Oryctolagus cuniculus: one gene and its partner. The protein of the gene in region 1 interacts with the protein of each later gene in a pairwise test. Links are inferred from orthologs where the notes say so. Each region holds a gene or a part of one and is shown in the gene's direction. Other genes may lie near its edges.

Region 1 (4,493 bases):
ATGTACTCCGTCCACAGCTTCACGGGCTCCTTCGCCAGCTCTTCCGTTTTCTTGGTCAGGTACTCCAGAAAGAACCTGTTTTCCGCCTGGAAGTGTAGCTCCTCCTCGTGCAGCTGCCTGGTGTCCTCCAGTAACAGCTGCTGCTGGGCTCGGGCTGCTTTAATCTGCGTGTCCAGCTCTCGCACCTTCGCCATTCTTCTTCTGATGCGCATCTCCGCACTTGTTAGCTTCTGGGGCTGGAGCAGATTATTTATTAGACTGAGGTACGACGGAGGGGAACTCCTGGGACCTTCGGCAAACCTGAAGGGAGAGCCCATGAGACGTGCCTCTGTCAGTTCTTAATGCAAATTTAAGCAATCATAAAAGATGCACAATTGTCCTTAATTAATACAGCGACTATTTACTTATTTGAAAGGCAGATTTCCCATCTGCTGGTTCACTTCCCAAATACCTGCCACAGCTGGGGCTCCATCCGCATCTCCCACGTGGGTGGCAGGGACCCAAGTATCTGGGCCACCAACTGCTGCCTCCCAGGCGCATTGCAGGAAGCTAGACTGGACGTGGAGTTGGAACTTGATCCCAGGCATTCAGATACGGAATGCTGGTGTCCCAAGTGGCAGCTCAACAAGTATTTTGGAGACCTACTACGTTCCAAACACTCTGCAAGCCACGGGAAATACAACCAGGGTTGAAGATGCTGGGGGTACCGCCGACAATTTGCAATAGGCATTCCCTGCAACCCCGCGGCGTAGTGTCCGTTTTAAAGAACAAGAAACCAGACGGCTGACCAGTGGCAGCGCCTGGGTATGAAACCCAGATCGTCGGACGCGGGACGGTGATGGGGAGCGGGGATACTTCTCGGGCTCCTTCATCCTCTTTCCGTGGCCGCACTCACTTGCTCCTGGAATCCAGCTGTTGACAGCGGTAGCTGCGCAGTTCTCGGAGGGTGGTCGCCGAGGAGCGCGCGCTGACGTCGGGGGTCGTGAAGGCGGAAAGGTCTTGCAGCTGCTCAGTCTGCGGCTCGACGGGTCTCCGCGCTGCCCAGCACCCCCAAGCGTCCCATTTAGCCCCCGCCCCGGTCAGCCCAGCCCTGAGCTGTTTAATCTCCTCGGGTGCCAAACAAGCTCTAGCAGGCGGCAGACCAGCGTCTTCGGTCCTAGCTCTTTGGGACCCCAAAATGAGACGTACGCCCCTCTTTTTCGTGTGGTGGGGGTTCGGCCCTTGGGAGCCCATCTCGTCTCCCGCTCCGAGGAGCCAGCGACGGGCAGTGCTCCTTTTTCGGCTCCGCTAGCCCTCTCCTCTCGCTTCTCTGCTCCCCTCACTTCTCTCCCGGCGTCACTAGCCCGCCCGCAGCAGAAACTCGGCACCCGCTGGCCGGCGCCTCTCGGCGGCGTTCGACTCTATTCTCCGCCCAATCTAGAACGTCGCGGAGGCCTCTCTAGCCACGCCGCGCCTCTGTGGTGAGGGGCGGGGCCTGAGCAAAGATGGCGGCGCTCGCGGCTGCGGCGGAGCCCCAGGCGTCCGGGGGTCCTCGGCCCCCCGTGTGCCTCTTGGTGTTGGGGATGGCGGGATCCGGGAAAACCACCTTTGTCCAGGTGACGCACACTGCGCGGGCGGGGTAGGGCAGCGCGAGAGGTGGTGGCGGGCAGAAGGCCAGGGAGAAAGCGACGGAAGTCCGTGGGGAGTTGGAGGACACCGGCGCGTGGTTTTCAGGGACTTCACCGAACTCCGGCTGCTTCGTGGGCTGAGGCATAGCGGACCCGCGCCTGTGTTCATTGAAGCCCTCTTCTGTGCACACTTGGTTCGACTTACCACGTTGTGTTGGAACTGTTTGCTGGGGAAGTTGCCAGCCTCTCGAAGGCAGACTCACAAGGCATGGAGTAGATAGATTCGGTGTTAACCCATTGGGTTTCGGTGAAGATTTGCGAAAAAAGTTATTTCTGGGGCCCCTCTCATGTTCCAGGCATGGGGGATACGGAGAAAATGCGGTTGACAAGGTTTTTACTTTCATGGAGGAGATAGAAAGATACTCGCCATATGGGTTTGCAATACAAGTTAATAAGTGGGCAAGAGTAGGGGAGGCTCTGTCAGGTGAGTGATAAGGAAAAGTAGCGTTTGAGCCGAGATTTGATGTTGGAAGCAGGGTGGATATTTCGGGTGGCTGGAGGGCGGTGGGTGAAGGAGTGGAAATGCCCTTCCTGATCACCCCCTCCTCCTCTCCCTCCCCCTCCCATCTTCCTGTCTGCAGCGGCTCACTGGGCACTTGCACAGCCAAGGTTCCCCGCCCTATGTGATCAATCTGGACCCGGCTGTGCACGAAGTCCCCTTTCCTGCCAACATTGGTGAGTACACTGTGCCCTAACGCAGAGAGGGGAACGCCTCCAGCCTGCCAGTCTTCAGGGACTTTTTTTATTTTCTGAACTTCGTACTTTTATCTCTCTTGGATGTTCTTCAGTCCCTAAACAGGCTTCTTTATAAAACATTCTCCTTTTTAAACACTGGCCTTTATCTAACGCCCAGGCTAAAGCTAGGAGCCAGGAACTCCATGCTGGCCTCCCATGTGGTGGCGGGGACCTAAGTGCTTGAGCCATCATCTGCTACCTTTTAGGTTGCTCATTAGCAGGAAACTGGATTGGAGGTAGAGGTGGGACTTGATCCCAGGCCCTTCCATATGGGGGGTACTTCCATATGTAGCACAGTCCCTTACCTGCTGCCCCACAGTGCCTGTGTCCCCCACCCCCAAGCTTTTTATACCCCAAATACAATAAAAGACCACATATTAAGAGGCAGAGATCATGGGGCTGGTACCGTGGCTCACTTGGTTAATCCTCCACCTGCGGCGCAGGCATCCCATTTGGGTACTGGGTTCTAGTCCCGGTTGCTCCTCTTCCATTCCAGCTCTCTGCTGTGGCCCGGGAGGGCAGTGGAGGATGGCCCAAGTGCTTGGGCCCCTGCACTTGTGTGGGAGACCAGGAGGAAGCACCTGGCTCCTGGCTTAGGATCAGCGCTGTGAACCAACGGCCAAGGAAGACCTTTCTCTGTGTCTCTCTCTCTCACTTTCCACTCTGCCTGTAAAAAAAAAAAAAAAAAAAAAAAAAAAGTTGATGGCAGAAGTCTACAGACGGATGGATAGGTTAAGTAGATTTTACTAGACAGATTTAAACCCACCCACCCTCCCTCTTTAATCTGAGAGACAGAGACAGACAGAGCTCCCATCTGCCAGCTCACTTTTAAATGCCTGCAAGGGTGAGTGAGCCGGCAGATGGAACTTCTCTCGCTTTCTCTCTCTCCCTCTTTCTCTGTAGCTCCACCTTTCAAATGAATTTTTTTAAGTAAATGCCTGCAGGGGCCTAGGATCAGGTGCCAACGCCAGGACCCAGGAATCAGTCCAGGTCTCCCACCTGATGGCAAGGCCAACACCGGTACCTCCCAGAGCGCCTGCCAGCAGGAAGCTGGAATCGGGCATGGAGCAAGGGTCTGCACGCCAGCACTCCGACATGGGACACAGGTGTCCCAACTGGTGGCCTAACCACTAGGCCAAGCATCCACCTCTTAATTCCTTTTTAAAAACTTTCTCTGTGTCACATTTTTCATCAGTGTGCAATTAGTAAGACACAAGCTTTAAAATTTTAGCCCTCTTTTTCCGTACAGTCACTAATGATTTAAGTTGTGTAGAACTTCCACCTTGTCTCAGACATTCCTCCCATAACTTGAGAGCTCCCAGCTCTCATTCTTCAAGGCTGATTTTCGTTTCTTGCTGGTAAGGAAGATGCTGATGGAAAACTTTTTACCCTTCTGATTTTTTTTTCCCTCACAGTCTCGCTTCTTTCTTCTATAGAAATTCAGTGATCTTAGGTGCAAACTTCAGAGAACAGTGTGAAAAGTAACTCAGATACCGAGAGAGAAACTTACTTTTTCCCTCAGTGGAAACAGAGATGACTTGAGAAGGCTCTTGGCTCAGGACATTAAGGGCGGTGGGGTGGGTGTCAAATCATATTGTTATGTATTAAATGCAATTATTTTGCCCCCCCCCTCAGATATTCGTGACACTGTGAAGTATAAAGAAGTCATGAAACAGTATCCTTTGCTATATCTACTTCAGTGTTGTCTCGCGGCTGGCTAGTTTCTGTCTGTGTGGTGTTTTTGCCTTTCCTTGTGAAAGACACAAAAACATAGATTGTGCCTTGAATAATTTTCATTATAAATTTCATAATTTATTAGGAGTATGCAAGGTGAATGTGGAAGAGATGTTGTAGGTTATCGGAAACACTGTTTCCACTTCTGGTTTCAGCTTTCTTACCATCTCCACAGACTGCAGGTGGCTGTAGAGACTAGGCAGAATGAAAGGTGAGATGGCAGCTGCCTGGGTGCTCAAGGTAGCATTGCCTTCGAGGCTGCATCCATTGAATAGCACCTCTTCAGATCAGGAAGCTCAGACATGAGTGTGTGTAGCTGGATTAATTGTTAGTACATTGCTGTGTGAAATGTGTGCT
Region 2 (4,725 bases), on another chromosome or scaffold:
TCACTAGGCTAATCCTCCACCTAGCGGCGCCGGCACACCGGGTTCTAGTCCCGGTCGGGGCGCCGGATTCTGTCCCGGTTGCCCCTCTTCCAGGCCAGCTCTCTGCTGTGGCCAGGGAGTGCAGTGGAGGATGGCCCAAGTGCTTGGGCCCTGCACCCCATGGGAGACCAGGAAAAGCACCTGGCTCCTGGCTCCTGCCATTGGATCAGCGCGGTGCGCCGGCCGCGGCGGCCATTGGTGGGTGAACCAACGGCAAAGGAAGACCTTTCTCTCTGTCTCTCTCTCACTGTCCACTCTGCCTGTCAAAAAAAAAAAAAAAAAAAAAAAAAAAAGATTTATTTATGGCTGGCTCCGCGGCTCACCAGGCTAATCCTCCGCCTTGCGGCGCCAGCACACCGGGTTCTAGTCCCGGTCGGGGCACCGGATTCTGTCCGGGTTGCCGTTGCCCCTCTTCTAGTCCAGCTCTCTGCTGTGGCCAGGGAGTGCAGTGGAGGATGGCCCAAGTGCTTGGGCCCTGCACCCCATGGGAGACCAGGATAAGTACCTGGCTCCTGCCATCGGATCAGCACGGTGCGCCTGCCACAGCGCACCAGCCGTGGCAGCCATTGGAGGGTGAACCAATGGCAAAAGGAAGACCTTTCTCTCTGTCTCTCTCTCTCTCTCACTGTCCACTCTGCCTGTCAAAAATTAAAAAAAAAAAAAGATTTATTTATTTAATTTGCAAGTGAGAGTTAGAGAGAGAGAGAGAGAGAGAGAGATTGAGACCTGCCATCTGCTGGTTCACGTGGCCACAACAGCCAGGGCTGGGCCAGGTGCAGCCAGGAGCCAGAAGCTTCGGGTCTCCCACGTGGGTGCAGGGGCCCAGGCAGTTGGGCCATCCCCCGCTGCTTTCCCAGGTGCGTTAGCAGGGGGCCGTGAGCCTGGGCCCACGTGGGATGCCGGCATGGCAGGCGGTGGCCTCACCCGCACCCACGGTGCGGCCCTATTCCCTGCGCTCCGGCCCTGTGACGGGGCTGAGAGAGAGCGGCCCTCTCACGGGGAGCCTTTCTCATCCAGGTACCACGGAGAGAAGCTACAGCCTTTTGGGCAGCAGAAGAGGCCCCGCGGCACCGGCCTGGGGCTCATTTCCACCATCTACGACGAGCCCCTACCTCAGGACCAGGGCGAGGCACTGCTGCGCCGCCAGCCAGCCACCAGCATGAAGTTTCGGACAGACCTCGCCTTCGTGAGGGCGGCCGGCTGCGCCGAGCCCGAGTGACTGCGCCGCCGTGCGGGAGCAGCCGAAGCCCCCTCTCCGCCTTCCGGATTTTAAGGCTTGACGAGCGGTGCTCGTGGGTCTGCCAGGCCCCGGCCCGGCCCCCAGCGCTCTGAGACGCTGGGCTGTCCGGAGTGACCTACGCGCCTGGGAAGAGGAGCGCGCTCCTGGTGCTCTCGGGACGGTCGGGGGCCTGACTGGCCGGCACCGGGCGGCGGCGAGTCCGCGGGAGACGCCCCAGGCCTGCGATGTGATGGGAGAATAAAGTGTACCGACGCACCCCCCTCTCTTATCTGGGGCCTGGAGAAGGCCGGGAAATGACAAGAGGCGTTTCCGCTCCCAGGAAGAAATGCGTTTGCGTGGCCACGCCCTTCCACCGACTACGTCACCGGGTTTCGGGCGGGGCTTCCGCCCCCAGGGCCCGCGGCTTCCGGCGCTGTCCGGAAGTCGAGGGCCGATCGGGTAGTACCGGGTCATTTTCTCCCTTTGCGTACCGCTTGGTCTCTGCTGTTGTGTGGTACGAGACACTTGTCCTTCCCCGTCAGCCTCCAGCTAACTGCAGGCCAGTAGGTCTTGTCCCCGCCGTCGGTCTTTCCTCCTGCGCGGCTGACTGTCCTGTTTCCCCACTGATTCGGCTTGCCCCGCGCCTGGCCGCGTGCGCCCATGGCAGAGGCCGCTCCCGCCACCGCTTTCGGGCAGGCGGTGATCGGCCCGCCGGGCTCGGGGAAGACCACCTACTGTCTGGGCATGAGTGAATTCCTGCGCGCGCTGGGCCGGCGCGTGGCGGTGGTGAACCTGGACCCGGCCAACGAGGGGCTGCCGTACGAGTGCGCCGTGGACGTGGGCGAGCTGGTGGGGCTGGGCGACGTGATGGACGCGCTGCGGCTGGGGCCCAACGGCGGCCTCCTCTACTGCATGGAGTACCTGGAAGCCAACCTGGACTGGCTGCGTGCCAAGCTCGACCCTCTCCGCGGTCACTACTTCCTCTTCGATTGCCCGGGCCAGGTGGAGCTGTGCACGCACCATGGCGCTCTGCGCAACATCTTCTCCCAGATGGCACAGTGGGACCTCAGGGTGCGTCTCGGGCCAGGGAGACCCATTTGCAGAACTGAGAGAGGGAGGAGGACAGATGCCACGCCCCCATGTCACACAGCGAGGTAGGGGCTGAGCCTGACTCTTCGGAGTAATATAGATGGGAGTTCAAATCCTGGCTGTGCCACTGACTCGCTGTGTGGCCTGGGAGAGTCGGTTCATCTCTCTGAACCTCAGTTTCTTATTTGTTAAATGGACGTGTGTGTTCTCGAGTTGGCATTTTTGGGAGTAAGGAGGGATTTTGTAAAAAGTGACATGGTGAGTGTTTTAAGTCGGTTGGCAGAAGTGAAAGAATGAAATCAGATGCGGTGGGATTTGAGCCTGCTGCCCACCGGAAGGCGCTGGTGCAAGGCATCTTGTAGGAAGAGTGCCCCTTATGTCCTGGGAGAAGGAAATGAGGGTGGCATTAGAACAAAACAGAAAGAGGAGGAGACTGAAAGGGACAGCTTACGCCGTCTCGAGCGCCCGGCCTGATGGGGGAGACTTGGGCTCTGAGGGTCCCGTGTCTTCCGCTTCCAGCTGACGGCTGTGCACCTCGTGGATTCTCACTACTGCACAGACCCAGCCAAGTTCATTTCGGTACTGTGTACCTCCCTGGCCACCATGCTGCACGTGGAGCTGCCTCACGTCAACCTCCTCTCCAAGATGGACCTCATCGAGCACTACGGGAAGCTGGGTAAGACCTCCCGCCCCGGGCGTGCAAAGGCGCAAGCCGCTGCAGCCGGCCAGGCTGAGGCCGAGGTCTCAGCAGAGGGAGGCTGCCTCGGGCGGGCCGCGCAGGCCTTGTGATGGTAACCACAGGCAGGTCCTGATCTGGCCCGTTTCTGTCACTCTGTGCCAGATACCGTTGTAGATTCTGGAGACGAGAGCTGCGGTTGGTGACGTGGGTGTGAAGGAATTAAAGCAAGGTGACCTGACAGCGGCAGTGAGTGGGGGCTGAGCGGTATCTGACGGCTCTGGGGCAGTCGCTTCTGAGCTGAGGCCTGAGTGTCGAGAAGGAGCCAGTGGAGGGACAGATAGACATAAAGGCCTTGTCTTGGTTTGGGCTGCTGCACCCAAAATACCGTAGACCAGCTGGGTTCAGCCACATTTATTTCTAACGGTTTTGGAAGCCAGGAAATTCTGCATGAGGCTCTGGCAGATCTGGAGTCCGATGAATGCCTGCTTCGGATAAATTATCGGAAGTGAGATTGTTGAGTCAAGGTATGGCAGTGTGCGTGTGCGTGTAGGTAGGAGCCTGCTGCACGTTGACAGCTGTTTTCTGAAATGGCTGTGCTAATTTACTGTGCCGTGTGCAGGATGCTGCACCAGAAGAAAATACTGTGGCAGTCCTCAGACTTCAGCCTGATGCCAGCTGCCCCGACACTGGTTTCTCTCCTTAGCCTTCAACCTGGACTACTACACAGAGGTCCTGGACCTCTCCTACCTGCTCGACCACCTGGCTTCTGACCCTTTCTTCCGCCACTACCGCCAGCTCAATGAGAAGCTGGTGCAGCTCATCGAAGACTACAGCCTGGTCTCCTTTATCCCTCTGAACATCCAGGTACTGGGCACTAGCAGGCCTCTTCCCCTGCTGTCTGGCTGTGCTTGAGACTCCCCAAGCCAGGGGCACAGGAAGCTGTGCAGACAGTGGTCTTTGTCCTGGCTTGGACTGTCACAGGGTCCTCTTGGTTTTGGTGGGAAAGGCTGTGGTGGGCAGGATTCCAGTAAAGAGAGTGGCCCACGTTCTCACCTGATCTCTTCTGGAGTCCTGGGTCCCCTCCATACACGTCCTCCTCGGTGTGAAAAAAGGTGGGTTCAGGAAGCCCTCAGCGAGACACTTGTCCTCGTCCAGGGCGTGTCTGTCAGGCCCGTCAGCTGGGCAGGTGCCCAAACCCTGTGCCTCTTACCTTGCACCCTGCAGAGAGCGCCTGGGAGAGACAGGTACTTTGTAGATTCCTTTCCTTGAACTGACTTGCCTCTACCCTTTCTCTTGTTTTTATTTATTTATTTATTTGAAAGGCAAAAAAGAGCTCAGATCTGCGGATTCATTCTCCATTTGCTAAAAACAGCTGGGGCTGGGTCAGGCCAAAGCCAAGAACTGGAATTCAGTCCAGTTTTCTACATGGATAGCAGGAGCCCAACTGCTTGAGCCATCACCTGCTGCCTCCCAGAGTGTGCATTAGCAAGAAGCTGGAATTGGTCACAGAGCCGGGCCTCAAACCCAGGCACCTAATATGAGAGGCTGGCATCTCAAGCAGCACCTTTTGTTTTGTTTTGTTTTTATAAGATTTACTTATTTATTTGAAGTGCAGGGTTACAGAGAGAGAGAGGTCTTCTCCCCAAATGGCCGCAGTGGCTGGACCTGGGCTGATCTGAAGCCAAGAACCAGGAACATC

The links.
Region 2: the proteins of GPN1 (region 1) and GPN2 interact in binary tests that used the Homo sapiens proteins (3 or more experiments, as listed by UniProt). The link is inferred for Oryctolagus cuniculus from reciprocal best matches to the Homo sapiens genes GPN1 and GPN2.

The regions. Positions count from the first base shown.
Region 1 is NC_091433.1:175,377,302-175,381,794, reverse strand, and holds the start of GPN1 (GPN-loop GTPase 1), read left to right. Parts: upstream 1-1,438; 5' UTR 1,439-1,484; coding exon 1,485-1,595; intron 1,596-2,248; coding exon 2,249-2,342; intron 2,343-4,037; coding exon 4,038-4,077; intron 4,078-4,493. Other genes in the region: CCDC121 (coiled-coil domain-containing protein 121), read right to left, coding at 1-300, 896-1,233. UniProt on the Homo sapiens protein: Small GTPase required for proper nuclear import of RNA polymerase II (RNAPII). May act at an RNAP assembly step prior to nuclear import.
Region 2 is NC_091438.1:144,618,981-144,623,705, forward strand, and holds the start of GPN2 (GPN-loop GTPase 2), read left to right. Parts: upstream 1-1,681; 5' UTR 1,682-1,918; coding exon 1,919-2,329; intron 2,330-2,866; coding exon 2,867-3,023; intron 3,024-3,729; coding exon 3,730-3,890; intron 3,891-4,725. Other genes in the region: GPATCH3 (G patch domain-containing protein 3), read left to right, coding at 1,057-1,258. UniProt on the Homo sapiens protein: Small GTPase required for proper localization of RNA polymerase II and III (RNAPII and RNAPIII). May act at an RNAP assembly step prior to nuclear import.